7 linked regions of the Tribolium castaneum genome follow. The protein of the gene in region 5 interacts with the protein of the main gene of each other region in a pairwise test. Links are inferred from orthologs where the notes say so. Each region holds a gene or a part of one and is shown on either strand. Other genes may lie near its edges.

The links.
Region 1: the proteins of Ubx (region 5) and Su(H) interact in a protein complementation assay, tested with the Drosophila melanogaster proteins (2 studies listed by BioGRID). The link is inferred for Tribolium castaneum from reciprocal best matches to the Drosophila melanogaster genes Ubx and Su(H).
Region 2: the proteins of Ubx (region 5) and TfIIEbeta interact in a two-hybrid assay, tested with the Drosophila melanogaster proteins (2 studies listed by BioGRID, with this or other methods). The link is inferred for Tribolium castaneum from reciprocal best matches to the Drosophila melanogaster genes Ubx and TfIIEbeta.
Region 3: the proteins of Ubx (region 5) and Mef2 interact in a protein complementation assay, tested with the Drosophila melanogaster proteins (2 studies listed by BioGRID). The link is inferred for Tribolium castaneum from reciprocal best matches to the Drosophila melanogaster genes Ubx and Mef2.
Region 4: the proteins of Ubx (region 5) and Cbp80 interact in binary tests that used the Drosophila melanogaster proteins (3 or more experiments, as listed by UniProt). The link is inferred for Tribolium castaneum from reciprocal best matches to the Drosophila melanogaster genes Ubx and Cbp80.
Region 6: the proteins of Ubx (region 5) and Smox interact in a two-hybrid assay, tested with the Drosophila melanogaster proteins (2 studies listed by BioGRID, with this or other methods). The link is inferred for Tribolium castaneum from reciprocal best matches to the Drosophila melanogaster genes Ubx and Smox.
Region 7: the proteins of Ubx (region 5) and armadillo segment polarity protein interact in a two-hybrid assay, tested with the Drosophila melanogaster proteins (2 studies listed by BioGRID). The link is inferred for Tribolium castaneum from reciprocal best matches to the Drosophila melanogaster genes Ubx and arm.

What each region holds. Positions count from the first base shown.
Region 1 is NC_087398.1:4,884,059-4,888,148, forward strand, and holds the start of Su(H) (suppressor of hairless protein), read right to left. Parts: upstream 2,801-4,090; 5' UTR 2,484-2,800; coding exon 1,638-2,483; intron 563-1,637; coding exon 1-562. Other genes in the region: DNA excision repair protein ERCC-5 homolog, read left to right, coding at 3,453-3,540, 3,605-3,780, 3,840-4,090. UniProt on the Drosophila melanogaster protein: Transcriptional regulator that plays a central role in Notch signaling, a signaling pathway involved in cell-cell communication that regulates a broad spectrum of cell-fate determinations.
Region 2 is NC_087396.1:10,271,664-10,275,642, forward strand, and holds the start of TfIIEbeta (general transcription factor IIE subunit 2), read right to left. Parts: upstream 2,801-3,979; 5' UTR 2,686-2,800; coding exon 2,624-2,685; intron 2,569-2,623; coding exon 2,467-2,568; intron 2,413-2,466; coding exon 2,250-2,412; intron 2,199-2,249; coding exon 1,998-2,198; intron 1-1,997.
Region 3 is NC_087403.1:6,203,276-6,206,775, reverse strand, and holds the end of Mef2 (myocyte-specific enhancer factor 2), read left to right. Parts: coding exon 1-200; intron 201-552; coding exon 553-711; intron 712-792; coding exon 793-1,158; intron 1,159-1,218; coding exon 1,219-1,728; 3' UTR 1,729-3,230; downstream 3,231-3,500. UniProt on the Drosophila melanogaster protein: Transcription factor that could be a key player in early mesoderm differentiation and may be required for subsequent cell fate specifications within the somatic and visceral/heart mesodermal layers.
Region 4 is NC_087397.1:5,580,077-5,584,376, forward strand, and holds part of Cbp80 (nuclear cap-binding protein subunit 1), read left to right. Parts: coding exon of another isoform or gene 1-2,080; intron 2,081-2,150; coding exon of another isoform or gene 2,151-2,186; exon of another isoform or gene 2,187-2,300; intron 2,301-3,616; coding exon 3,617-3,855; intron 3,856-3,903; coding exon 3,904-4,300. Other genes in the region: mucin-2-like, read right to left, coding at 1-2,080, 2,151-2,186. UniProt on the Drosophila melanogaster protein: Component of the cap-binding complex (CBC), which binds cotranscriptionally to the 5'-cap of pre-mRNAs and is involved in various processes such as pre-mRNA splicing and RNA-mediated gene silencing (RNAi).
Region 5 is NC_087397.1:7,100,887-7,105,186, forward strand, and holds the start of Ubx (ultrabithorax), read right to left. Parts: upstream 2,801-4,300; coding exon 2,164-2,800; intron 1-2,163. UniProt on the Drosophila melanogaster protein: Sequence-specific transcription factor which is part of a developmental regulatory system that provides cells with specific positional identities on the anterior-posterior axis. Binds the consensus region 5'-TTAAT[GT][GA]-3'.
Region 6 is NC_087396.1:11,007,065-11,011,209, reverse strand, and holds the start of Smox (mothers against decapentaplegic homolog 3), read right to left. Parts: upstream 2,801-4,145; 5' UTR 2,599-2,800; coding exon 2,390-2,598; intron 2,102-2,389; coding exon 1,899-2,101; intron 477-1,898; coding exon 347-476; intron 297-346; coding exon 1-296. Other genes in the region: dymeclin, read left to right, coding at 3,491-3,630, 3,677-3,823, 3,872-4,145.
Region 7 is NC_087395.1:16,182,140-16,185,639, reverse strand, and holds part of armadillo segment polarity protein, read right to left. Parts: intron 1,628-3,500; coding exon 1,315-1,627; intron 1,263-1,314; coding exon 1,111-1,262; intron 967-1,110; coding exon 870-966; intron 698-869; coding exon 498-697; 3' UTR 1-497. UniProt on the Drosophila melanogaster protein: Isoform neural may associate with CadN and participate in the transmission of developmental information. Can associate with alpha-catenin.

The sequences.
Region 1 (4,090 bases), on a different chromosome or scaffold from region 5:
ACTGCGGTCGGGGCCCCGGCTCCGGCGTATACGTGAACGTCAACCCCGTGGCATAGATAATCCCGTCGTTCCGCACCAAGGAGACCGGGACCTGGGTCGGCTGCCGCACCCACAGCCACTCGCCCCGGAACTGCGAGATGTCCGGGACCACGCACAGCATGGACTCCTGGCACCGGTACATGGTCTCGGCCTCCACGTCCCCGAACCACACCTGCAGGGACGGCGAGAAGTTGTCGCCCGTGAGCTCCAGCATCGCCACTTCGCCGCCGCCGTTCAAGTGCAGGCTGTGCACGATGGGCACGGGGGTCACGGGGGAGCGCACGGGGCCCATGCCCTCGTAGAACTGGTACTCGGCCTTGTCGGTGGAGATGATGGTCCAGCAGGCGCCGTCGTTGATCATCTCCTTGTTGGGCTCTTTGGGGCAAGGGGTGGCCTGGAACTGGATGATGCGCTCTTGGGAGAGGCAGAGGTACATGCGTTCGGTGTCTTTCATGTAAAAGGCGCATTTGTGCAGCTGGGACACGGGGTCGTCGGCTTCGAGGAGCGCCTGCTGCTTGTCCACCTGGACCAAAACAACAAACGCTTTACAAAATTGAACCAAAAAACACAAACTACGAAACAAAAAAAGACGCCACAAAGAGAAGAGAACAATTATATTACAATACGTTAAAAATTTGCAATACGATGACCTGTACAAACGTAAAAAAGTGGAAAATAAAAAAAATACCGTCAGGAATTATAGGAAGTTTCAATCACAATTTTTTCAATTAATACTTGACCAAGTAAAGATAAATCGTAACTGGAGAACTGTCAAATTATACACAACTTAAATAATTCTAATAATAATGTAGCTGTATTTCAACGGGTTCCTTAAAGTGTAAGTAAGATAAAGAATAAATACAAGGTGTCTCAAAATCGGCGGATTCCAAGTCCTGCAGAGCGTAGTAGAGAATCACCAAATGTAGAAACAAAATAAAGATTTGGGGCTTCTTCTGACATTTTGGCGAGAAATTAGCTTTCTTTCTTTACGATATTTTCTGATGAGGTCGGTGAAAAAGAGTATTAAGAGTTTATTCGTAATTAGCGTAGGAAGACTAGGGAGAAATCTGATGTTGTCGAGAGGCATGTTATGCTTTTTAAAGGCATTAAAAATGATATGCGGACGAAATTATGACAAAAAAAAAAATCTTGAACATCCAGCATAAGAAAGTCAATGACGTGGTGAAATATTTAATTATTATTATGAGTATTAAGAAAGCACATTTGTAATTTTAATGGCTGAAAAAACATAATATTTTGTGTTTCTTGAAAATTACAATAGTTTGTATTATTTTAGTAGGTTTTTCTTTCCCCAAAATAGGCTTCGAATCGCCCGCGTGAGCGGCGAGTTTTGATAGGATGGGAACCGACATGTGTTCTCAAATGGGCCAATCACGGGCTGGGTCAACATTTGTATCGAAATATCGAATTTTGTGCAATGAATCATCTGGAAAATCATTATTTTGTCTGAATTCGGTCATGGTATGGCCGTAACTGCTTGCAGGGAGCGTTCCTTTGCGTAATTATGGGGAATATAAAGATTGACATGTTGCCGAATCATAACCTCAATTTTTTGTTGATGTTTTTTTCAAACGTACCTTTCGAATGATAAGTCTCGGGAGGGCCATTCCGGTGACAGAACACACCAGTTTGACTGTAGAACCGTAATGAATGTACCCATCCCGTACTTGAAACTCCTCACTTTCAGATTCATTGTCGTCTAACAAGTGTATAGTGAAAGCACCCCACTGTGTGGAACTGGCATGAAAATGTCCATTTTCCACGTGCAGATACCGCGTGGAGACAGTCTGAGATCTAAGTCTGTTAAAAAGCGCCACTTTGGTACCACTCGCAATACACAAATCCGCGTTTTTCAACGATTGTTTCTTCTTTGAAGGCTTCGAGATAACTTTGATTCTTTTGCTATGAAACACCCCGATGTCGTGCCCCGACCCGTAGAACATCTTCACGGACAACATAAAGTGTTTCCTCTTGTCCGAATCGGAGATGTAGAGAGTTTTCGCGGCACAATACTGCTTCCCATTATTCAAATCCAGCTGCTGCATGTCCTGGTCCGAGTTCCCAATCCCTATGAAAGCGCATAACTGCGAGGCCTGCTCGGACTCGCCCTCCCGCAGCATCTGCTCCTGGCGCAGCCTCCAGCCGTCCCCGAACAGATAAATGCAAGGGGGCGGACAGAAAAACCTCTTCTCATTCCCGTAGGACTTCTGCGCCACCTTGGCGTGCAAAATCACGATGACCATGTCGGACCGGTCCCGCAGATACCGCTCCATGGCCTCCCGGGTCAGCCGCCGGTCCTCGCCGCGGTAGCCCCCGGGCACCACCGCCCCCGAGAACCGCGAGTACATGGCCCCGTGCTGCGGCGGCGGCGTCGGGGGCGACTGAGCGTGGGCTATGCCCGGCAATCCGTACTGATGGGGCATTTCGAAACACTTAATCAAGTAGGCCGCATCGCACTGGCGTTTGTTTTATCGATGCACTCACAGCCAACTCTTCGCACGGCTACCGCAACACACGGTGAGAACAAATGCCATGCTTCCCCCTCCTTTGCCCCCCGTATCTCATTCGAAAAACACCTGTTTGGAGAGAGGATTTTCCGACAGGATGGCCAACTTTCAAAAGGCGAGTTTTCACAGGAAGTGCCCGAATTAACGCGTTCTTGGAATTTTTTAACGCTCAAGAGGGCCCAAGATGGGCTGATGGGTCTGCATGGGCCATGGGCGGGGCGGGCGGGGCGGGCGCGGCGGTCGCTGAAAATTATGTAATTTTGGTAGCGTTAAGGCGGGTTTACACCTAACACGCGTAAAACGGTAGTGGATGACACAACAGGGGCGGAGGCGAGACGCCACTGGAGGATTAATCCTAGTGAGGGATTTTCTACCTTGATACCTAATCTAATTGATCTAATTAGGTGCCAATTATTATTATAAATAATGTTTATTTCTAAAAAGAAGAAAACTAAAAAGTTCTAACAAAGATAGCAGTATTAGGAAGTTCGCGGCGCCGCTGCCTGACAAAAGAATGTGGTGGTTTTATTGGCGTTTGGGCGCACGCCACTGGCCGCGTGTTTATGAATGGGTCCCCTCCCTTGTGAAGGTGCCTTTAGCGCCGCCCCCCTGCCCTCCCGCAGGATGTTGGGGTTACAGCCAGGGCGTGGGAAAATCATGGTGTGGGAAAGAGTGGGTGGCCTCGGCGATTCTCAAACATTTGATACTGAGAGATGTAATTCAGACCGCTGGACGAGATTAGGTCTGTTTTCCTCTGATTTGATGATTCTTCGCATCTAAATCATGGGAACTGACTGACGTTCGTGTCGCGGTCGTTCATCGCCGCCTCAGACCGTGGGAATTTTTTCCATCAGACGCCTCGAATTATTTACCAGAAAATATATTATGGGAGTTCACGGTCTGTGGAGGCTCATCGAGCCTTCCGGCAAACCCGTGCCTCTGGAATCTCTCGAAAACAAAGTGTTAGCTGTCGGTATCCTTTATTGACATTTCAAACGTCACGCTTGATCGGTTATAACCTTAACGCAATCTGACAGATGTCTCGATTTGGTTGCACCAAATCGTCAAGGGGTTCCAGGACGCCAAGGGGGCCGCCGTCCCCCATGCGCACCTGCTGGGGATCTACCACAGAGTATGCAAATTACTCTATTTCAGAATCAAGCCGGTGTTTGTCTTCGACGGAGGCGTCCCAGTTCTCAAAAGACAAACCATAGTGAGTAAAATAATGAGAAAAAAACATAACCTCAGTTGCATTTTCCCGCAAATTCCCAGGCGTTACGCAACCAGCAAAAGTCCAAAACCTTGTCCGAGGCGGACCGCATCCACAAAAACCTCCTATCAGCCTTAGTCAAACACACCGCGATTAGCAAAGTCTTGTCCGAAAAAGCCAAAGCGGCAATAACCGCCTCAACTTCTCCCACTAAAAAATCAAAACAAGACGATGACGAGCTTTACGCCTTGCCCCCGTCCCAGTCTCTCGACTCCACATTGTCACAAAGTGACTCGGATTCGGAAGACTCGGG
Region 2 (3,979 bases), on a different chromosome or scaffold from region 5:
AGAATTAACACCATAATTGTTTGTATGAATAATACTAGGATACAGAAATATCGTGTTTTACATCTTCTAGTCTTTAGTTGCTTTTGCCCTCTCTTTCTCTTGTCCCGCACTTGACTGTGGGAGATTCTCGGCGGCAAATTTTGTCAAAATGAATATTCGCGATTCGTTCAAAACTACAACAAAATTTTTCGTTTTTTGGACGCATTCTGTTCGTACCATCACTGTGCATCTTTCCCGTACACATTTTTAAAAATATTATGAATATTTGTTTAAACTTTTAATAAAAAAATATCAAATAATTTTTTTTCAAAGTCTTACGTTGTCTCAAATTATAATTATTTAAAAGAGTCAATTCCATTTTTCGATTTAAAATTGGATTACAAATATCGCCAAAAGTAGAAAAATAAATTTCATTACTACTTGTCTTTGCCACACACTTGGTTTAACTCTGTCGTCCCCTTTAGCCTTATAGTGACCTATTATCCACTAGTGGAATAAACTAGGAATTATGACTACCAGACAAAGCCTGCCAAGATTAATTTTACGATTGTGGATAAAACATTGTATTGCATTCATGTTTTAGTCGCATTTTATCCACTTGAGAATATTAAACATTCTTGCGTGGATAAAATGCTTTCGAAAACACTTATACAATAAATAGCTATTAAAAAATCTGCGAAACCAAGGGCCGTATGAATACAATTGAGTAAATGCTTTTACTTCAAATTTTGCAAGTAAATGTTCTAAATTGTATGAGTAAAAATGTAAGTATAAGTTTTTACTAAAAGTAAAAGCACACTGGGCGAGTATTTGCTTGAACGTCGAGGTTTTACTCAAAACAAAATGAATAAAACAAAGTAAATGCTTTTTTCGTTGAGGATTTAGTTCAAAATTGTTGACGCTAATCAGTAGGAGCATCAATTTTTAAAAGTAACACCTCAAACTCGAAACAATGGTGGGTGTTGTGCAACTATGGGTAAGAAAAACTTATAAACAACCTCGCGAACACATAGGATAAGATTTTAAGACTTTATATCGGTTTGAACGAAAAAATCTTCGTGCTTTGGCTAGGTATTTTTTGAGTGAGAACAACGAAATGGGAGGAGATGGAAATCCATTTTAAAAATTACAACATTGAAAACTTCACTACAATGATTTATTTTGAGAGCAGATTCTCCAAAAAACTAAAGAAGTAAAAGCAAGAGCAAATGCTTTTCCTTTATACTCATACTTTAAGTAAATACTTCAACTTTATTCATACGACCCCATATCTACATCTTCAACTATTTAGGCCCCAAAAATGTTTAAAAATGCTCACACAGCGGTTTCGTTTCATTTTATGGTCAAGTATTGGAAAATTAATTTATACCTAAACCAATGAAGATGTGGCGGACTTTTTTGTAGGAAATTTAATTCTCTACATCTATGCTTCTTACACATCTTTAGTTGAATTCGCAGCGTTTTCATATATATAAATATGCGATTTTTTGACACTGTTTTCAATAAAGTGTTTCCACTATCTTAATCTCTGACTCTTTCTGTATTAAGTTTTTAATTTAAATTAAAAGTGCAAAAAAATATAAACATTTATTATCAATTTGCAATCCGCGTTATAATTTTTAAAACATAGCGAATACGTTTAAAGGTATAAAGAAGTGTGAAGAACAAAGTTGTAAAGAAAAATAGTCGCGGACTTTTTTGTAGAAAATTGATTTTTCTACTACTTTGTTCCTAACATTTTTCTTGTATCTTTAACCAAATTAACAGCGTTTTAAAAATATGGGTCACACTGCAAATTAATATGTTTGAAATTTTTGCATTATTTTTAGTTGTTACTCTTGAAAATTTAATGCTCTATGTGCCTGTATTTTTTTGAATTGTGTTAATAGTTATTTAAATAGTCAACTGGGCTTTTTGGCGACATTACCGAAAATATTGAAGTCGGAGACGTTTTATTTGTACGTCGTTCGTTTAGAAAATAACTAAAAGAATGATACCTTCAAAGCCTTTTCGCAGTGTGGTAACGACTCTTGCACGTCGTCTAACAACACACCGCCTAACCCTTTCAAATCTTGTTGTTTCAATAGTTTCAGTAAGCTTTTCCTGTCTTTAAGTTTATATGGAGCTTTGAATAAAAATTTTCCGTCAGGAGTGACCTCAATTTTAGGATTATCGACTAACGCTTCGGTTTGCAGCCACTTAAATCAACACCATTACATTTAAGTATTGTAATAATGACACAAAATTACTTGCTTGACTTTATTCCCTACGTCTAATTGATTAGTTTCGTCTAAAATTTCCTCTAATGTGAGTGGATATGTTTCACCTTCTTGGTGTCTCTTCCTCATATGTTTCACGATTTTAGCGAGAACACCGAATCGATATTGCGAACTTCCTGTTGCTGTTTTGTATCTAAAAAAAAATCACAAAGTAATTGATTCAAATTTGCAATGTTTTGCTGCTTACGTGTTGATATCAAGTTTAGGGGTGCTACTACTAGAAGACTTAAACCTTTTGCTATCATCGCGAGTTGGTTCTGGTCTTGAATCAGTCTTTTTTCTTTCTACACTGAAAGTAGAACAAAATTAACTGAATAAGTTGACAAAATGCGAATGCTACTTACGTAGGAGTTGTAAGTGCACGTTTTTTGAATAATTCTCTTTCTTTTAGTAAGGCGGGGTCCATTTTATTGGAGAAATAATAAATAAATAATACGAACTATGTTGTTTGAGGAATAATCATCTGTTTTCTTTTGCATTTGACATTCACGGCTGTCAAAGTGACAAGTGGTGGGGGACCGATGCCTTGCGCTGTCTGTCTTTTGTGGCCGACTGTTCCTTGAACCGAATTTTATATATTTTTTTGCAATATTATTATTTAATTAATTACTAATTATAGAAATATGTAGTAATAATCGTTGTTAATTAACTCTAGTTTTTAATCGGATGTGATGCCAACTACTAGCTTGCTGTGTGGAGGTTTTTTGGTTTTTGTTTTACAATGCAAGCTGTCTCAAAATTTGCGAATTTCGAGTTCAGAGCATTGTAAAGATAGTAAAGAATCGCTTCAGTAGTCCAAATGTAGAAACCAAATGAAGATTCGGGGCTTCCCCATTACTTTGGTTTGAAGATCACTTTCTCTTTGCACTGCGTTTTCTTCAAATACGGACTAAAAGTTTAAGTGTTTATTCTTATTTATGGTGAAGATGATTGTTGAGAATAATAATGTAAAACGATTGTCGATTTCTTAAAAAATAGCTTTATTTTGGTGTAAAAAAATTAAGTTTTTGTAATTTGTTGTTACATTTTTAAGAAAAATTAAACAAGTTGAATGAATAAAATATTTTTTCTAAAAAAATTACACAATTTTTTAATTAGTTTTAAATTATTATTTTCTACAATCATCTAAGAACACCATAAATAACAATAAACACTAAAATTTTTAGCCCGCGTTTGAAGAAAACGCAATTCAAAGTAAATCTTCATTTTGTGTCTTCTCATACATTTAAGCTACGGAACTCTACAACGCTCTGAACTCGGAATAATTCGCCAATTTTGAGACAATTTTGTCCCAGCTAAGACTACCTGGGGCAGTGCGTAATTTGGGGGTGGCAATTGCCATCCAAAATTGTTCAGCTCAACATTATTTGTAATATGGAAGAATGAAAAAACAAAATTATCCAAGAAAGAGCCGACATTTTTGTTGAAGGGCTATGAAAAGTATGTTCCCTCTACTTTTTGACCTTTATATGTTTATTTTTTGCGATTCCAATAAACACAACATCTTGTGAGAGGTCTTTTTCTCGCTTGCGGCGGTTGAAAACGAACACTAGGAAGATTGGCCAAGAAAGGTTGTCTTCATTATCTCTTTTGGCTATCGAAAGAAGTGTTAATGTTGACATTTTCAAGGTAATTGATATCTTTGATACGAACCTTCACTTCACTTTGCTTAAAAAATAACTTATAATAATAACTAAAAT
Region 3 (3,500 bases), on a different chromosome or scaffold from region 5:
CTTTCAACAAGCGGAAGTTCGGCGTGATGAAGAAAGCTTACGAACTCTCGGTTTTGTGTGACTGCGAGATCGCGCTTATCATCTTCAGCAGCAGCAACAAATTGTACCAGTACGCGAGTACGGACATGGACAAAGTGCTGCTGAAATACACCGAATACAACGAGCCCCATGAGTCTCTCACCAACAAAAATATTATCGAGGTACATCAAACCCAGCAGCAACTATGCCCGATACTTGGCTGATGCAAACACGATAACTGTGTTTATTTTACTGTTGATTTTTTTTTCGATTCGTACCTTTTTATTATTCACTGATAACTTTCGAAAACCTAACACGTTATTGTTTTGTTGTGCTTATTATTTACTAAGTTATCGAATCGCTGCATTTGCCTGTTATTTACGCGAGTTGTTGCTTCAGTTTTGAGACCCTAACTTGTAATGCTAGTTACGTGTGGTAGAGACTCTTTAACTAGAGGTGATTAGAACGTGTGGTGTGTGTATGATAGCCCCAGAGGCTGCGTTATTCCATGAGCTGGTCCACTGACACTTGCAGGCACTTAATAAGAAAGAGCATAAGAACGGAGTGATGAGTCCTGACAGTCCCGAGCCGGAGACGGAGTACCAGTTGACGCCGCGGACCGAGGCCAAGTACAGCAAAATCGACGAGGAATTTCAAATGATGCTTCAAAGAAACCAAATCAATGGACAGAGGGTACGTCTAGTTATTTGAATTGGTTTATTTCGCGTCGCGTCGTCTTGAACGTGAACTTAATGATTTTTTGTTTGGTTATAGGTTAGCATGAGCTCTTCGAATTATACGCAACCCGTATCGGTGCCTGTTAATATAAGTTATGGTGATTCTGGTCTTCTTCAATCTAGTCCGCAAATGGCTCATACTAGTATTAGTCCCCGACCGTCTTCTTCTGAAACAGATTCGGTTTATCCGAGCGGAGGAATGCCCGAGATGAGCAATGGTTATCCAAATTCAGCATCTCCAATGGATGGATCACCGTCCCCAGGACCAAGTCCAGGACCAGGTCTTAGTTCCTCAAAGCAGCATCCAAAACAACATTCACCCGGTCCGCGATCGAACCTCCGAGTCGTCATCCCTACGGCACTAGGACCAAGTATTACCCCGGAAGAAGTTTCATATGGAGAAGTAAGAATTTCTAAATTTGGGTCTTGACGACCGATTGTGTTTCCTTTGTTTGCTTTCCAGCACAATCGGACTCAATCGACTCTGAATACCCCCGTGGTGGCGCTGCAGACTCCCGGTTTGTCGAATTACCCCGGTACTTTGAGTTCGTTCGGCGCTCAGGATTTCAGTATGGGGGCCGATATGGGCTTGAGTTCAATATCCTGGAGCGGTCATCAGATTTCGACGTCTTTGACACACACAAGTAACTGCTTGCCGCATTTGGCAGTGTCGAGCAGCACACCACCGCCGTCGTCATCTTCACCGATACCTGTGAAAATAAAGAGTGAACCGATATCGCCTCCTCGAGAACATCATCCGCATCTGAGTGTGGGTGTCCACCATTCGCACGTACAGAGCTTGAACTTGACGCACAGTCACCATCCGAGGCCCAGTTCTGCCGGTCATATAACGCCGACTCCTGGAAGTGTCACGCCGACGAATTTGCCGTCGCCGACGGGGCCGCCAAGCGGGGGTGATTACGAGAATATTCAGATGCATAAGCGAGCAAGACTCTCAGACTGGCCATCCTAGACCGGCGGCGGCGGTGGCGGCGGCGGCGCACAAGACGCTAAGTGCCATAGTGATAACGTGTGGATAACCGAACGCGTTTCTATTGCCAATTGTCATCTATGTGATAAACTACGAGTCTAGTAAAACTGGATATTTTATGAAATTTGTAGTCATTTATCAGTGAAACATACATAAAAACGATTTTGTAGAGAGAAAGGGAGAGAGAGCGCAGCGCGAGAGAGGATCAGATTTATATAGAATGGGTTAGTGTGGTGAGTGTGTCGTGGTTGTTCCAGTCAGCGACAGCGTTATATGCTGGCGCCAACATTTGTTCTCAGAAACAAACATAATATATAGTGCCATTATTTTCTTGTAATTATTAGTGTCTTTTTTATAAATGTTTTTAGATAAATAGTATATTATTTATAATGTACACTTGTTAATTTAGCGAGGATGCAGCCACTAACAAACATATTGAGACTATGCAGGACACTACTCTTGTTATGTATTGGTGCTTTCCCCAACCTGATCGGATGTACTCTGTCCACTGGCTGTTGGTGCGGACGGCTTGACAGACGCCGCGGCGGCTCTGCTTCGCCGGATTGACGCTGGCCGTCGGTCCGTCCGTCCGTCCGCCCGTCAATGTTGAATGTACTGTATTTGTACTGCTTCCCCATTGGAACCTAGAGTGTTCATTGTTGTAGCCTTTTCAATTTGTTTGTGATTTCAGAGTACGATATCTATTCTGTATATTGACCTACACAAATTAAATTATATAATTATACATTATATAATATATAGATATATTTTATCTACTGTTGTGTGCACAAACCTTGCACATAGTTTTATAGTTTAAATGTCGGTTCGACCCGGCTGTCCGTCTTCGCACGGATGACCCTATCTCCACTGAACTACTGTAGGATTGCCTTACTCACAGTGCCTCGACAGTATGTACGTATCTATTTGTGTACTACACCATTGGATGTCTTCAGTAAAAGCCATCTTAAGTCCGAATGCGCTGCGGTACATTTTCGTCGATAATTCACAGGGTATTGCGCCGTTCTACACTCCACTCTGCTGACTGGCACGTGCTAGTGCTAGTGCTAGACAGCTGCCGCTGCTTGTGCCTTCTTGTTAACCTGGTACCTTTCCGAACCCCCAACTGGCTTCCGTGTCACTGCACTACTGTCTCTTCTGTATGTTATTCTTTATTTATGTCAATGTTTTGACATGTCAGTTGACACGATTTTATTTAGTCGTTTTATGTTAAGCGGAACATTACGCCTCATTTTTAAATGGACGAAATACCCAGCTACATTATGTAAATATAGTTATATTTTATTGTAGCGTTGCCAATATTTGTTGATCATTTTACACCTCATCTTTCATTTTACATTTACATCATAAGGCATTATATTACGTCCATTTGACATAGGCATTTTTCAATCATGTGCAATATTAATCTGACGTTTATTTATCTATGATGTATTGAATTAAACCAAATAAAAAATTGTTTGTTACAATTTTAAGCCTACATTTATTTAACAACACATCTACATCCATCTTATCATTCCATCAACACTATATTCAAAATTATTAGTGTGGCAGGTAAATAAAAAAATTGCTTTGTTGTGCATTGTTATGCATTATGACTAAAGGACCTAATTATTGTAAACGCATGCGCTTTTGCTTCTCACAAAAATTGTTAACTGTAATATGCCGACTTTCAATTTTTCAAAGGTGCGCAAACAACGAAATTAAAAATAATCAAACGATTCTTTGGTGTCTCAATC
Region 4 (4,300 bases), about 1.5 Mb from region 5:
GGATTGTGAATTTTTGTTGCGTTACTGTTGTTTTTGGCTTTGATTCGAAATAAAATTCCGTGACTGTGGTGGGTTTAGGGTGGGTTGTCACAGATTCGGGTTCTCCTAAAGTGGTACCATAACTCGTTCGACTCCGAGTGGTCGTAGGTACTATCTCTGGTATAGTGGTTTCATAACTGGGTGTTTTTGCTATTGTCTCGTACGTATTTTTCGGGTGAGTTGTAGTGGGTACCGCCTCTACTACAGTCGTACCATAACTAGTTGACAGGTATGGAGTTGTGATAGGTACCGCCTCTATGATAGTAGAACCTTGCAGGGTTGTGACTGGTACAGCTTCTACTATAGTAGTTGAACCATATGGAGTTGTAGTGGGTATTGTTTGGATTGTGGTAGTAGTTTTAGGACTACTTGAAGTGTGTAGCGTTCTAACTGGTACTTCTTCTACTAGAGTCGTTCTGTAACTAGTTTTGGGGCTAGACGGTGGTAGAAAAGTAGTGCCTTGATTGGTTGAAGTGTGCAAAGTTCTGACTGGCACTGCTTCTATCACAGTGGTTCCATAACTGGTGGTTTTGGGGCTGGATGATGTGGAAAAAGTGGTATCATGACCAGTTGTAGGTCGTAAAGTTCGAACGGGTACTGCTTCTATTACTGTGGTTTCATAACTACTAGTCTTGGGGCTAGACGATGGTAGAAAAGTGGTTGACGTGTGCAGAGTTCTGACGGGAACTGCTTCTATTATAGTAGTTGTTTTGGGGCTAGTCGAAGTGGTTTTGGGACTGGTTGAAGTGTGTAAAGTCCTAACGGGTACCGCCTCAATCACCGTACTACTTTTCGGTACAGTGGTATAAAACGTAGTACTTTTAACCCTCTCGGTCGTAAAGGGCCCAATAATTGTAGTTTTCTGCTCTGTATACGGTACTTTTTCAATTGTGGTACTTTCTTCTTTCCTAACCGAAGGTTGAGTCGTGGTAACGTACGGAATTGTAGTTTCAACGTTTCGATCAGGGGCTGGAAGTTGTTCACTGATTGAATCCGGTCGTGTGTGTTTCGGAACTTCCGTAACCGGTTTCATCGGTTCGGTTGGACTAACCGGGAACAAATTAACTCGTTCTTCACTTGTCGTAATTTTTTTCGTAGTAGTTGTGCGTAACGCCTCCGAAAAAATATCAAAACTCTCGTCTTGTTTTTCCGTTGTTGTCTCAACCGGAGTGTAATAATGAATGGTTGTGATGGGTTTCGGCGACTTTGTATAACTTTGGGTCGGTAAAGTCGTAATCGGGATTAATTGTCCTTCACTTACGACAAAAGTCGTAGTCGTAGGAGTCGTAACTGAGAATCGGTGAGGCCCACTTGATGTTTTCGCCGCCAATGACTCGATCAATTTTTTGTACAGTTCGTATTCTTTTGGATCGATTGTTGTTTGGTCGTGGTATGAAGTGAAAAATCCGGGAAAACTGTGCAACACGTGTTTGTACCCATCCGGGGTCATTTGTATTAAAATTCCGGGTTTGTAGTGTCCATGATCTTCCTCTTTCTTGAACCACTCTTTTTGTCCAACTGTGTTCACACCCGGATCGCTCTTAATCACGAAAATGTGTCCCGGGACGTTATAGTTAAAAAACCCATGTCTTTTGACCAAATCCTCGCTGATGGTGTGCGTGATGGGCGAAATCGTGTACTCGATTTCGTACACGTGCCCATAATGGGGGTCCCGATGTCTTATCCGCTTCACCGTCCACAGTGCGAGTAGTTTATGGTGACCGAAGGTTTTCCACTGGCATTGGGGCGACGTGAGGCATCTTTGACAATCACAGTCCACGTCTTGAACAAATTTGAAACCTTCAGGGGTTATGTAGAGTTGTCCTCGTGCCAGAACGGCGATGTCTCCGAAAGGACTTGCGTCGTCCTGTCGGTTGATAAAAGGGGCTGCCAGGAGGCGGTCGCGGAGCCCCGGGTCGGTGTAGTGTTCCCGGAGGAGGGCCTGATGCACGGACTCACGCAGCCCCAATTCCCAGTCGGTGGGAGGATGAAAGTTTCGCACGGGTCGAGTGATTGATACAGTTTCCCATAGTTGGAGAGTCTGAAAATGAGAGTTTTCATTTTTTAATAACCTTGGACTTGAATGGGATTGTTAGTCGTGGTAAAATTACCAAGAGTAAAATGAAGATTATTTCGAAGTGTCCCATTTTAGACCCACTGGGTGTTTGCAAATGTTTGAAAGCTGCACATGTCACTAGTTCGCTCGGTTTCTTACAACTAAATCTTTTTACTTAGAGAGATTGAAGAGTACCCCACCGATGATCCTAGAAGCTTTCGACATAATTGCTAATACATTGTCTACTTTTCTGCGCACTGATGAATATTAATTATTTTTTTCTTGTGTGTGCAATGTGCATATTATATTACTTAATTTAGACACATGCCAAGATAATTATCTCGGGGTTTTAAGAAAAAACCCGAATTATTATTTTCGGACAAGTTAATTTGGCACGACAGTAATTAACTAAAATGACTCTCATTAACAATGAAGTTTTGAAATTTTTATTAAGAGTGATGGGTTTGTTAAAATTAAACCTTCGGAAAAAGTATTGTCCGAAGTGAGATTTTTTAATTAAAAATTTATTAGCAAGGTTTTATTGGCAATTCTATGATGAATTTGTATTGTCGCAACATCTTGATAATTGCATTTTCATTACGATAAATAATGGACTCGCACTTTTAATTTAATTTATTTTTTACCTTCTTCTTTGATGGTGGATTTTTGTTGATTTAATTTCTGCAAAAACATTTTTTTTCTTTATGTTACTCGAAGGAAAATAGAGAAATTTTATTTTCACCGAAAAGCGTGGCTAATTGAAACCTTGTGGTGTTACCTAAGACCCTATTTGCGTAAAATTCAGTACTTGAGGTAGAATATTTTCATTTTTATTGCACAAATTCATTACCTTTGATTTAATCTCCGCGTTATGAAACCAGAGATGTTTACGATCGTTCTTATTTTTTTCTTTTAATTCGTAATTTTGCTCACGAATCTTCAGTTTCACCTTGAACTTAATTGCTCTGAAAAGAACCGATTTTAAGTCAGCGGCGATATCGCAAAGTCGCATCTTTACGCTTGGAGATTTCGAAACGAAAAACAATAACGAAAGTGCATGTTACACGATGAAGATTACAATTGTTTGAAACAATCATCACAATGAGCAAATTTGACATAATGGTCACGGTATGAAGTGATTCTTGTAATTTAAAGGAAAAAGTCCGAAAGTAAAACGTGCGTGAATTTGACCAATTAACACGAGAAAATAGCTATACATTGCAGCTTGCGTAAGAAAGGGATACGATTATATGCGTTCGAGAAAAAACGAACGTTTCCGTTATGATTACTTGCAACAATATTGGATTTTCTGGTCGGTGGTCTTCCGCTATTATTAATTTTTCTTTTCCGTTTCGGTTTGCGGAAAACAATTTTGTTGTATTAAACGGATTGTTTTTTTGAATAATTCATTTATTTAAAGTGGAACGGAGGATTATGAGGAGTTGTGAAAAAATCCAGCTTCCGTCGTGGCGAAACCAAAATTATGAAATTTTTTGTCATGCATAACAAATCGTGTTTTAGCGTCACTTCCGGGTACTACGGCTGCCCATCAATTGGTGGTGTCAATACGTCAGAAGTGCACCCCCGAGGAGGTCCTAGGGGTGCTTAAGGACCTCCCAAACCCCCGTTCAGAAGAAGAGACTGATAGCAGATTTAATCCTCTCAAAATCGACGTTTTTGTGCAAACTCTACTCAACTTAGGGTCGAAGAGCTTCTCGCACAGTTTTGCAGCGATTTCCAAGTTTCTTTACGTTTTTAAGGTACTCAGGCTTGAACATTTGTGTCTTAAATCACTTTTTTTTTGATAGATTTTAGCAGAGTCGGAGGAAGCTCAAATTTGCGTTTTACGAAACATGTTCGAATTGTGGCACCACCACCAACAAATGATGGTCGTTTTAGTTGACAAAATGTTGAAAATTCAAATTGTCGAGTGTTCAGCGGTCGCTAATTGGATTTTTTCCAAAGAGATGACGGCCGAATTCACCAAAATGTACTTGTGGGAAATTTTACATCTGACTATTAAAAAAATGAACAGACACGTGATTAAGCTAGGGGGTGAACTAGCTGAAGCTAGAGAGAAACTAGCACGGGCTGAAAGCAGCGAAAGTGAGTCTGAAGATGAGGATTCGAAGAAGAAGCAATCTGATAACGAGAAACCAACTGAAGAGTATGTTGAAAGGATGGAAGAGAAGTTGGAAGCGGCAC
Region 5 (4,300 bases):
GCTAATACCTTGGTGGAAGAAACAAGCAAATGTTTTTGGTGCGGTCCGTAGCGAGCAAAATACAAAAGGGGGTGTAACTGACTGGGCCACGGTAATACGTCATCGCTCATCCGGACTGAGTCCGGCACAATTCGGGACAAGTCCGGGACTCCGGCGCGGTAGACGAAGGAATTATCATGTGAATGAGGAAATATACAGAGTGGAACGCTCTCAAAGTCTTATACGAAAAATAAGGAAGCGCTCATATTGAATGGCACTTTTTGAACAGGCGAGGGTCGGCCCCTTGTACCTGACGGACCCCTCTGGTTAAATTATGAAAGTGGATGAGGGCGCCATCTGAGTGACGTGCCCAACACTATGGGATCATGTTACAGTTGCCAATTTTTTTTAGTCAGGAAAAATTTGAAAAATTTTGGTACTTTTCCCATTTCCGTCCTGTTATGTTAATAAAATGAAATAAAATAAAAGAACGTTGTAGCTTTATGCAAATTTTGCGAATTTATGATGTTGTTATAGAAGATTGAACTTTGACATACGAGTTTCTCTAATAAATAAAATCCGTCGGAATCATCTCCGAACACGCTTTTAATCGTCCTCCCTGTATAGCGCGATAACATAAGTGTAGTAGATCGTGCGTTGGCGGCAATAGCGCTAATAAATCAAACTATAAATAAAAACAATTTAAGCAATCGGCGGCCCGTGAAAACCACAGCCGCTTCTTCAATCAATAATTCTTCAGCGACGTTGTAGTAATTTCGAAAAGATATACCTTTGAACATTAGAGTTCGCCATCAACTCATTACTCTCCAGCGTATGAATAGAGCGTCTCGCAATAACGACCGAACGAAATTTTTTGTCGGCTCGTTAGCGATGTCCTCCCGAAATATGAAACGACCTTAACCAAATTATATTCCATTGACCCAAGACTTGAGAATTACGAACGCCGAACTCAAAACACGGATTATTTTGGTCAAAGCGGACGATTTTTTTACGGGAATATAGGACGTGCTCATTTCAAAGGCGTCTAGACGGCCAAATAGGCGAACAGCTGATCGTCCCTCGTGCTCTGACAAGGACCCGATTTGTTCGACGAGGACGAGAACAGAGAAATTCGACTGAGGGACAGAGATGTGGCAATTCAACCCTGATTTTACACGCACTTGACTTCGCTGCAGGTTCAACATTTACATAACTTTGAGGTGCGGACATCGCGCGCACGGGCCAAAGGGCAACAATTAGCACAAAAAATTTTGTTTATTCAAATTTATTTTATTTTGCAATAGATAATTAAGTAGTTCCAGCGGCAATAAATAAGGCACAAATTATGAATGACAAATCATTGAAAAAATAAACAAAATTTATGGTGTTGTACGTCGGCAACTTTAACATTCCCAAATAAATTACTAATTTAACGTACTTTACTATCGACTGAAATTATATAAAATTTTAATTTTAGAAAATAGAGGAAGCAGACGACGAAGATGAATCACAAATAATAAAATAAAACGGTTCGTCATATTGTGCCAAGAAATTTATTTTTGAATCAAAGAATACCCACCAGAAATTTAGGAAAAATAGATACAGATAAATAATTTATTTAATCATTAATATAAATCATTTTCCGGACGACTAGAAAGATATTCAGTTAAAAAATCGTTTACAAACTTACTAAAAATCTGTTTTTCGGCAAAACTATTTAGAACATTTATTATGTAAAAAGTTCGTTTCTTAATTAATTATTATTAACTATTATTTTTTTAATGGAGATATAAATAAAAAAAGTCGTAACTAAACATACTGTCTTTAAATATAACTAGTTAATAAAATCGTAACTTGAACCGTGGTGGTCCAAAAAGTAGGTACAATAAAAACCCGGAAACAAACAGTTTGCTCGAAATTTTTAAAAAAATCTCCCGCCAAAAAAATTTATTCTTGACTTTTGATTCGCACTATGTGTTTAGAAACGACTATTATTTTCACGTTTGGTATTTTGAAATGACATTTTTTTAGTGTCACAGCAATGAATGAAACATTTTTGGTTTGTGCTTTTGAAATGTTACAGTGTGGTGCACGTTTGAACGGCGTGCGATTCGGCCGGAGTTAGCGCGTTTCCTGCAAATAGCGTCCGCAGCAGGAGTCCGTAGGCTTAGACCTATCACCAACCTGCAATGGCCATCCAGGGGTAAAACGTGTGGTTGGTCTGCTGGTGTATCTGCGTGCCAACGGGCTGCGAAGAGGTCGAGTTGATACTGCAGGGGTTATTCCACGAGAGCGAGTTGCCCGTCCGTCCTGCGGCCGCCCCCGGACTCGAGGCCGGATCTCCGCCGACGAGCCCGACCGACCCGTAGCCAACCCTGGAGTCCGGCGTGCATGCCGCCGGCCTGACCGGCCCCGTCAAACTGTTCGTGAGATTAGCGCCACCGCCAGAAGTCGCACTTTGCCAAACGTCCTTGACCGCGGCCGCCGCCACCACCGAGGCGTATCCGTTCTGGTCGGCGTTGCCTTTGGAGCAGTCCGGCTTCGAGTTGGAGGAGTAGTTGGAGTTCTGCTGGCCCTCGGAGGAGTAGAGCTTGCAGGCGGCCGCCACCGAGGCGTCGTACGGCGAGTCCTGCGGGGGCCGCGCCTGCAGGTGGTGGTGGTGGTGCTGGCTGGAGGCGTACGGGGACATGCCGAGCGACAGCGGGAAGGAGCGGTAGGCCGCCGCCGCCGCCGCCGACTGCTCGTGGTGGTGGCCCGCCACCGACCCGCTCTGGTGGTGGTGGCTGCCGTAGAAGCCGCTCTGCTCGAAGTAAGAGTTCATGCTGGGGGCGGCACAAGTCACTCGACACCGGAACCGGACATGACAGTCACACGATTATTATTATTGTTATTAGCGAGAGTGATAAGGTGATAAGAGCTCGCACGAGCACACCACACAGCAGCTCGCTCCGGAATGCACACGTTGGCTACTTTGCTCGCGGATGGGAACCCACTGGAGCTCCGGAGTCTGCTCCGGCCCACACATCCCGGCCCATCGCTCCCCTCTCCCCCCACTCCGGACGAGCACGCGGCTCATTATTGCAGCTACCTGTATTGTCGGCCGATCGGACACGGTCGCACCTAATTAGCGCCTGACCGGCTTCTCCAAAGGCTAGGTTTCCTCCAGAAGGGTCGCGAAGGCCGTAATAACCCCTAGAGCACGTGCTTCTACACGAAGACGCTCTAATGGAAGGGATCATACATGAACCAATAGCAATTGAATTCGTCACAGCCTTCAAGCATTGCGCAAGTGGCCCCCAACGAGACGAAGAGGGGAGGCGCGTGGCGCCAGCTCTCGGACAATTGCTCAACCTTTCAAAACGACACTCTTGCCGAAACGAGCAACATCAATTGCCAATAAAAGATAAAACGACCATCACACCACCAATATAAACAAAATCATCGAAAAGTAAACGCTACATTTAAAATACTCTGATTCCGCTGCCAAACCCTCAATATATTCACCGTTAAAGTACAAAAAGGAAAGCTTATTTTATTTATTATTTTTTTGCATTCTGCATCACAATTTTAATGTCTATTTGGTTTGTTAAAACAATTAAATTCACAATTTCTAAAAACAGTACGTAATTTTATATTAATATTCAACTAAAACAGTAAGATTTATTGACGACGGGTAGATAAGATCTTGTTCTGTAACTTTTCATCGCACTTGATTTTTTAGGCAACAAATCAGACTCCAACCGCTAAACAAGTTAAAATCAAAGAAACACTCCATTTTTTTAAATGTTTTTAGGCTGTATAAAGAGCGGTATGCATTCAGCCCTTTGTTACTGCTTCAGGTACCTATTAAAACATTCTCGCTTTTTTGACTTCATCTTACACTGTACCATGTCGGTATAAAAACCAAAGCTAAAGTTAATTGTTGCTCATTTTCGAGTAAGGGTTTTAATATACTACCTTAATGTACCTACTTTTCTGTGTTCCCAAAATACAATAAACTTAAATTGCATTTGAATGAATGTGCTTTTGTAAATTTTACTGCCCGAAAAACATTCAAACTAATAAAACTAAATTATTTTGGACCGTTTTTTCTTCGTGCACATACCTAATCCAAATCAAATCTCATCGAAAAATACTCGTACCCCATTCCAAACGGATTAATTAGTTCAAAAAAATTATAGAAGTGTCTCTACTGGAATTATTCTAACTACAAAAATCTCCCAACAATAGTAGATCTAGGATCTAGGTATGTATAAATATTTTCTTCAAACAAATAAAAACAAATAATAATGTAATAAATTTCTATTCAGTAAACAGTAAA
Region 6 (4,145 bases), on a different chromosome or scaffold from region 5:
GGCTAGCGTGAAACGTTTCCCCTACTCGTGTGTTCAGCTCGTAGTAGCTGATACTGCACCAAAAAGCGGGTTCACAGTAAAGTACAGGCTGCGCGTCCACGGGAGGACTAGGCGTTATCCTGGACATGCTCATGTTATCGTTAGGATCAATCGGATCACCATCTTCGGACATATAACCAGGTGGAGGAGTTTCAGTAGGTGGGGCAGCATTGTGGGGAGATTCCATATTTGCAGGAGCGCCATTCGGGCAAATACCAACCGCATCCATGTAACCCCCAGAATGTTGCATATGCAAACTGAAATTGCCCACCAAATTAAAAGTTTCAGCAAAAGAGGGAAAAAATACCCTAGACTATTTGGATTGTGAGGAAATGACGTGTTTTCGGGCACAGACGTGCTGAGGTCTTCCAGCGAATGCGGAAACAAGTTGTTTTCGTCGCTGAGTGGATGGCGGGGGACTAAAATGGCTGGGAGGGCTGTTGAGGAAATAAAATCAATTTTTAATAGACTAAATTGAATCGCTTCAATTTATGAATAAATGTGCCAATAAACACCCAAAAACATTAATAAAACCTGTTTCTCTTCCTTATTTTTTCAGACCGGATGTTACAAAATAATCGAATTTGCATAATTCCGTGTTGCTGATTAGTGAAATGAAATAAAAACAAACATACATGACATGTCAAGGTTAAGCGATAACTTATTAAAAATTACAAAATTACTTCATCTAAAAATGCAATTCTTTATAATTACAATGACGGTAAAAGTTTAACAAAAATAAGAATGGTAAAGAAATCAGAATCCGAGTGAAACGTTTTCAACATAACAGCATACAAAGAGCTCCATTTTTAAAAAAAAATACGGTCGATGGTGGTTTTTGGTGCAATTTTTAGCTAAGAATTTAAATATAAAATTTAATAGGCTATTGTTATGTAGAAAATCGTGATAAGTTCCAAAATATACATTACGTAGTCCCAAACCGTTCAAATGCCTAAATCAATAATTCAAATGCTTAATTCATTTAGGTTTACGAACTGTATTTTACGATTTCCACCATATTTTTACTTTTACAAACTTTTTACAAACGGTGCAACCTCTAAAACATCTTTACAAATAAGCACATGCAATGTCTCTACATTATTTTTAACAGACTTGCTAACGTAGATAGTACGGATTTTTTTTCGTAACATAAATAGTTCAAGCAAAAACGCTTGGTTCCATACTTTTGTCAGACGCTATATCATGTATTCGTAAAGCAAAACCATATCCTGTTGCAGTGCTCAAATTGCTAAAGAAAAAAAACATACTTGCTGTAAAAAGTTAAACACTTTGTACAAAAAGATACAGTGAAATTAATAATAAATGTGTGTTTATGTAGAAAAGTTTTAACATAATTATCAAGCGAATTTATTTAAAATAAAAAATATACTGAAAAATATCGAATTGTTAAACAAAATTAAAAGTTTCCAGTCAAAATATAAGCACATTTTAATTTTAATAAGCACATCTAGCTGCTAATCGCTGATAAAACGAAGTCATAACACGACTTTAATAAATGCCAAATTATAGTAATTATTACTACTTATTTATACTCTATCTTTGGTAAAAGAATACAAATGCAAACGTAGTTCAACATTTCCACCTAGAAAGCTGTTTTAAGAAATAAGATACTGTTAACTTATCTACCTGTTGCGCATATACATAAATTAATTATTGTTTCGAAATTATACATAAAATCTAAACAGTCTTTTGAATAAATATTTAATTATTTGAAGGATTTATTACGAATTTATGGAACTGCCGGGTTTCTACAAGCTTGTTTTCTCTTCAAATTTGAAACTGTTAAGTGCATTAGTTTTTGTAAATCTGGAAAACTCTGGACATAACATAAATAATACCTGGGCTTTCAATTCTAGTATAGTGGTATGGATTGACACAGACTTCCTCCTTTTTTAAATTGTACGCGTATTCGCAGTTTTCGAGAGGTCTGAGTTCATGGTGCGATTGCAGCTCAGGCCATCTCCACAGCCGGCAGTAAATAACGTGGGGCAAACCCTTCCTCTGTTGCTGGACGTTGCCTAATTCAGCAGCCGGCCGAACTCTACAAATGATCAATAAATCAGCGCCAATGATGCAAGTTAAAAATAATAAAAGTAATTTCAACTGCTATGTGCGCGAGATTTGAGCGAATTATGAGGGACAGGAAGCTGGAATTAAAATTGCGCAATTTGGGCAACAGTGGTGTGAGAACGGGCCCAACCAGCACATTTTGCAGACATTTAGGGTAGGTCGCAAGCCAGACGTGGTGCGGTGAGGGGATCTAAACAAATCCATAATACCTATGACCTTAAACTTGGTGCATGAGCAGACTGCGAGGCCCAAAACTCACCTAGGAATTGTGACGCATTTCGTATTATGATTCTGTGACGAAATCGCTCGTTCTAGCTCCTCCAAAGCGCCCGATTTTTTCAGTTTCTTGACTAAACTCTTGACGGCCTTCTCACACCATCTGTCATCGGCGTCAGTGCCTTTTTTCCATCCCAGTAATCGCTTTACGACGGGCGGCGTGAACGACGGGAGCATCCCACTCATCACCATCAAACAACCACGAGTTACAAAAATTCACGCACACGGATATCACCAATTTTCACAGAGAAAACTTGCCAAAAATTTTACAAAAATTATTGCTTTACCACTGCCATATTGTTCTTTGACAGGCGGACGATGATTGTCGCTCCACGCGAAATAAGCACAGCCTCATTTGCGTCATCTGTCTTCTTTCCCCACATTTAAAAACTAACAAAAAAGGACGCACGTGTGTTGTGTTAACAATTTTTACGCATGCGCGCACACAAAACTATTCCAAACCAGTGGCGTCGCGAAAACGTGGTCCAAGACACTGTTTACATTCCTCGAATATTGCCTTAAAGACAAGGTTTTAAACCCAATAGCAACAGTTCAGTGACAAAAAGACAGTTTTTTTATATTCTTCCTAATCTAAAAATCATTTCTTTATTGAACCTATTATTTATAATCAAGATAAAATTACGAATTCGAATCTTTCAAAACTTAAAAGATCGAGTGAGATCAAAGAAGGCATTTAAATTTAAAATGTATTAAATCACCAGCGCAGCACTTGTGTAAGAAATAACAATTGTTGTTATTTCAACCCATTTAAATTGTAAAAATTATTAAAAATGCATAAATAAAAATATAAAAAACAAAAAAGAATCATTCCGTCACAGATTCCATTCATTTGTGGAGCCCCAGCGCTCTACTTTTCTCAGCTTGATGATCCTTCAGTGGCGTCGTTCGTTCAAATGTCATTTGACAGGTGACGTGTTTACTTTTTACGATAAGGTTATGTCCTAGCAAATTTATGGAAAAAATGTTAATGGTGTGCGTTATACATTAAAATTGAGCGTAAATAAGTGAGTATAAACACCGTTGCTTACAAAAAACGTTTTGACAAAATTCGGTCTTTGTAGAAATGGGTACGGCTGTTAGCAAAAATTTTGAATTGTCCACGAATGATTATTTACTTAAATTTGTAAGCACTCAAGCGATATCACAAAATGACCCCTTTTGGAACCGACTGGTGGCTTTCAACATTTCTCCACCTATGACAAGGTTTACTTACACCAAACGCTAGACGAAACACGACTGTTTGTTTTAGTAATGACCAGCTAGCGTTAGAGTCAAAAATTGAAAACCTTTGCCAACTGTTGCTGAAAAATAACCACACCTCAGGAAATTTGGGTTCAATTATTGACGTGTTCTTGTCCCGAGCTACCGAGCTTTTGACTGCCACCAACACCGACGCGTAATAACTTTCCATTTCGTTAACTTCTCCTCATAATTCTCGTTTTAGAAGCTTATTCATTTGGCAGTTATTTAACATTCTGTTCATTATTCGCTGCATTGTTAAGTTTCTTTGCGAAACCGTGACTGAGGAGCAGCTAATAGAGCAAATTGAAGTAAACGGCAATGGGACAAGACTTGAGACTTTCGTAGACGCTCTAGTTAAAGTTATCGTCGATGTTGAAGTTACAGATGCCACGTATGGCATACACCTCGAGGCCATTACCACACTTCTAGTATTTTTATCAGTGCAATTACATTCAGGGCGAAAGTCAGACCAAAGC
Region 7 (3,500 bases), on a different chromosome or scaffold from region 5:
AGTTCTACCCTGTTCATGAAATTGTTTAAATATGATAAGAATTAAAACACAATGTTAACACTACACCTTTGACGTTACATAAAACGGCAATAGTAGCAGCAGCACTCACAACAAAATAAAAAACAAATAATATACCAACACTTTTATTAATAAAAAAGAAAACGGTACATGACGATTTATTTTGTACAATCACATTTAGATATTTTTGTAAACGACAACCATAACACATCAGTCAAAAATCAGCATTGTGTTTTAGCTCTTTGATAATAATCAGACAGCATAAAATGTATTTTTTTATTTTAAACAAATCAGACTCAATATTATACAACCGAAACTTATACACGTATATGATATTTTATACATACTTGCTAATAAATTATAAATAGGTACACTATAGTATTTTAACAACGAAACTTCCTAGTGTCGCATTTGGGATTATCAAGAAAAATAAAATGAAAATGTCTAATTTCATCAAACAAAAGACATCGAGGAAGGTATTATAAATCGGTATCGTACCATGCTGCAACTTGATTGTTGTCTTGGGGAGGTGCAGGTAATTGATTAATTGGGTCAAAGTTGATGTCGGGGTCGCCATTGGCTACATCCATGGCTTCAATCTGGCTGTACGTCGACCCGTTCCCGCCAGCGTGCGACCCAATCTCTAGCCCTTGCATATCTATTGGTATCTGGTCATACCCTAGCGAAACCACAAAATCAGTACAATTTCCATAACATCCAAAGAGCATGCGTTCAACCAAACAACTGCATGCAAAATTATTACCCATATGTTAGCTGACTTGTCTGTTATTGTCTCGCTTTCGGTGATTAGTGTTTTTAGTGAATTAGTGTGAAATGTGCGTGTCAATTACCTTGCTGTTGGTACGGCCGTCCACCGTGATTGCTGTGCACACTAGGGGGTCCTTGGGCATACATTGTATCATATGCTTGGTCAGGACTCAAAATGTCCTAGAATGATCAGTGACAAAATGCAAACAAAACAAAAATTGCCAAAAGTCAGGCTTCAAGCAAACCAAAAAAAAAACAGTAAATTCTACGACCAGTGAACTTACCTTTAAATTTTGAAAAAGCAATAACAAAACAAAAAAATACCTGTAAATCAGGATCGATGCCCAGATCCGGATTCCACAAATTCTCCTCCCGGAACAGCGAATTTGTCAGTTCCATACTGAGCCGTTTTTTGTAGTCTTGTGGCTTGTCCTCGCTCATCCTAAATAATACTGCGGCAGCGTACGTAGCCACCCCTTCAATAATTTACAATTAAAATTCAACAATTAGGAAAAAGTATGTATGAACCTTCGTTTCGGGAATGAAGCAATTCGGTTAGTGGCGATGTGGCGCCCTCTTGCTCGATCATTTCCGCCCCTTCTTTATCAGCCGCCAATTCGCACAACACCCCAGCTGCCACACGTTGGATATTTTCAATATCGTTAAAAAGCAACTGAACAAATATTGGTATAACCATTTGTTGGCGTATAATGGCCCTGTTGTGGGATTCCCGAGCCAATATGTGCAACGCCCCCACTGTCCCTTCGACGATCTCCTCCATTCGTACGCCATCGGCGTAACTCGAGGCTTGCTGGCTGCCGCCGCTCGCCACACTCGACCTCTGTTAAAAAAAAAACAACTTGATACATACCCTAATACGGTGCTAAACAGTTAATTAATACAAATTAATTTCACATCTTTAGGGTGTATAAAGCGATAAGTACCCACATGGGCGGAGCCTAATTACGCACAAAACCGAGAAGAGACGAAGAGTAGTCACAAAATAACTTTGTATTAAGGGCAGTCTGCTCCTGGCAAAAATTTGATTTGGACACTTTTTGAATTAAAATATATTTTTTGATATTTATCATAATTCAAGACAGCATCCAGTACCTTATTTACGCAGTTTTAAAAGGGCGCTAGATAATTTCACCAAAAAAATAAAAATGTGACACGATGTTATTAAAAAAAACTGCTTTTGAATTTAGATTTAGACAACATTTTTCTTCTAAATGGACTAAAATCAAACTAATTTTTTATACGAACTGAAAATCCAAAACTGTATGGCGCTTAACTATTTTTAATGTTTATAAAAAATATTTATTTAGTTGTCAAAGTAAATGTAAACAAATAAAAATATCTGAATTTGCTGAACGTAACATAATGTAATGAATATTATACCCAGTTCGTATCTTCAAAAGTTGTACAATTTCTGAAAAATTGACTATTTTGTGAGTGTAAAAATGTAAAATCTACCAAGGTGTTTCAATTAAAAAAAATATGCACTATTGTTTTTCAGTTTTTTTAAACAGGAAAAAATGTTTTGTGTAAATAAAACTAATGACAACCTACATTTTTCTACTGTTTTGCATAATATATACACTTTTAGTTTTCCAAAAATAACTAAAAAAAATAAAGAAAAACAGCAAACAAAATTACTCAAAAAATAATAACGACGTCATAAATGTGGCTATGTTTATTCCAAACAGTAAAATATAGGTATTAAGTTTATGAAGACTTATTCGCCATGACATACATGTTAGGATATGAACATGTATACACTGCTTTTTTTAATTTTTATAAGAAAAATCTATATTATCTAACATTATTTATAAATTTTTTGTATTTGTAAAACTTGGGCCAATCAAACGGAAACTGGGCTCATACATGTTCTTAATCCTTAATGTTACTAAGAAATTTAGATGGTTCACAATGGAACATCTAGAATTTCCAAGTTACCAACAATTTTAAATTTTCTATTTTGCTAAAAAGTTTATATCGTCTATCAAAGGGTCTTTAAGACGTTTAAGTGAATTACCAGTATTAAAATTAATAATTGTTTATTAAGTATGTCGTTTGCCCGAATGGAGCAGCTAATAAAATTTTCTCGAAAACTTTAGTGTCACTATCTTCTATCTTAATTTATTTGTCGTCTATCAATTTGGACGTTGCGACTGAATTTTTAAAACCTTGGACCTTATGATATCGGCTTCCGATTTACAACATGCGTTTTGATATAGAAACTGTGTTTTCATCACTGTTTTATTTTCGTTAAGTTAAGACTTTTCATGACCCAACAGCCCTTAGACCTAAAAACCGAAAAAATGTATTCCTGGTTATCGGTAAGAGCAAATCTAAGGGGCATATTTGAAATCTCATCGGAGAGTTAGACTACCCTTAATAAACATAATAGTTTTGTTTAATTCAGAATGTTATTGGAGAGTTTTTGGCTCTCACAAGCTCAAACACCCAATAATAAAACGAATTTGTTTCTCATTTAATCCGAAAAGGTAGTTATGTTATGGCTAATGTGTAACCTTGGCTAGTTAGTAAACTAGCCAAAATTCTTGGCTAATTTACTTGACAGATAGAATGAAAATTTACCTTCCAAGAAGAAAAACTATTCAACATAGTTGATGCTAAAATTAACTTCTATAACACCCTAAGATTCTAACTGTAAGTTAGAGGCTTCATTAATTGTAATGAAAAAATTA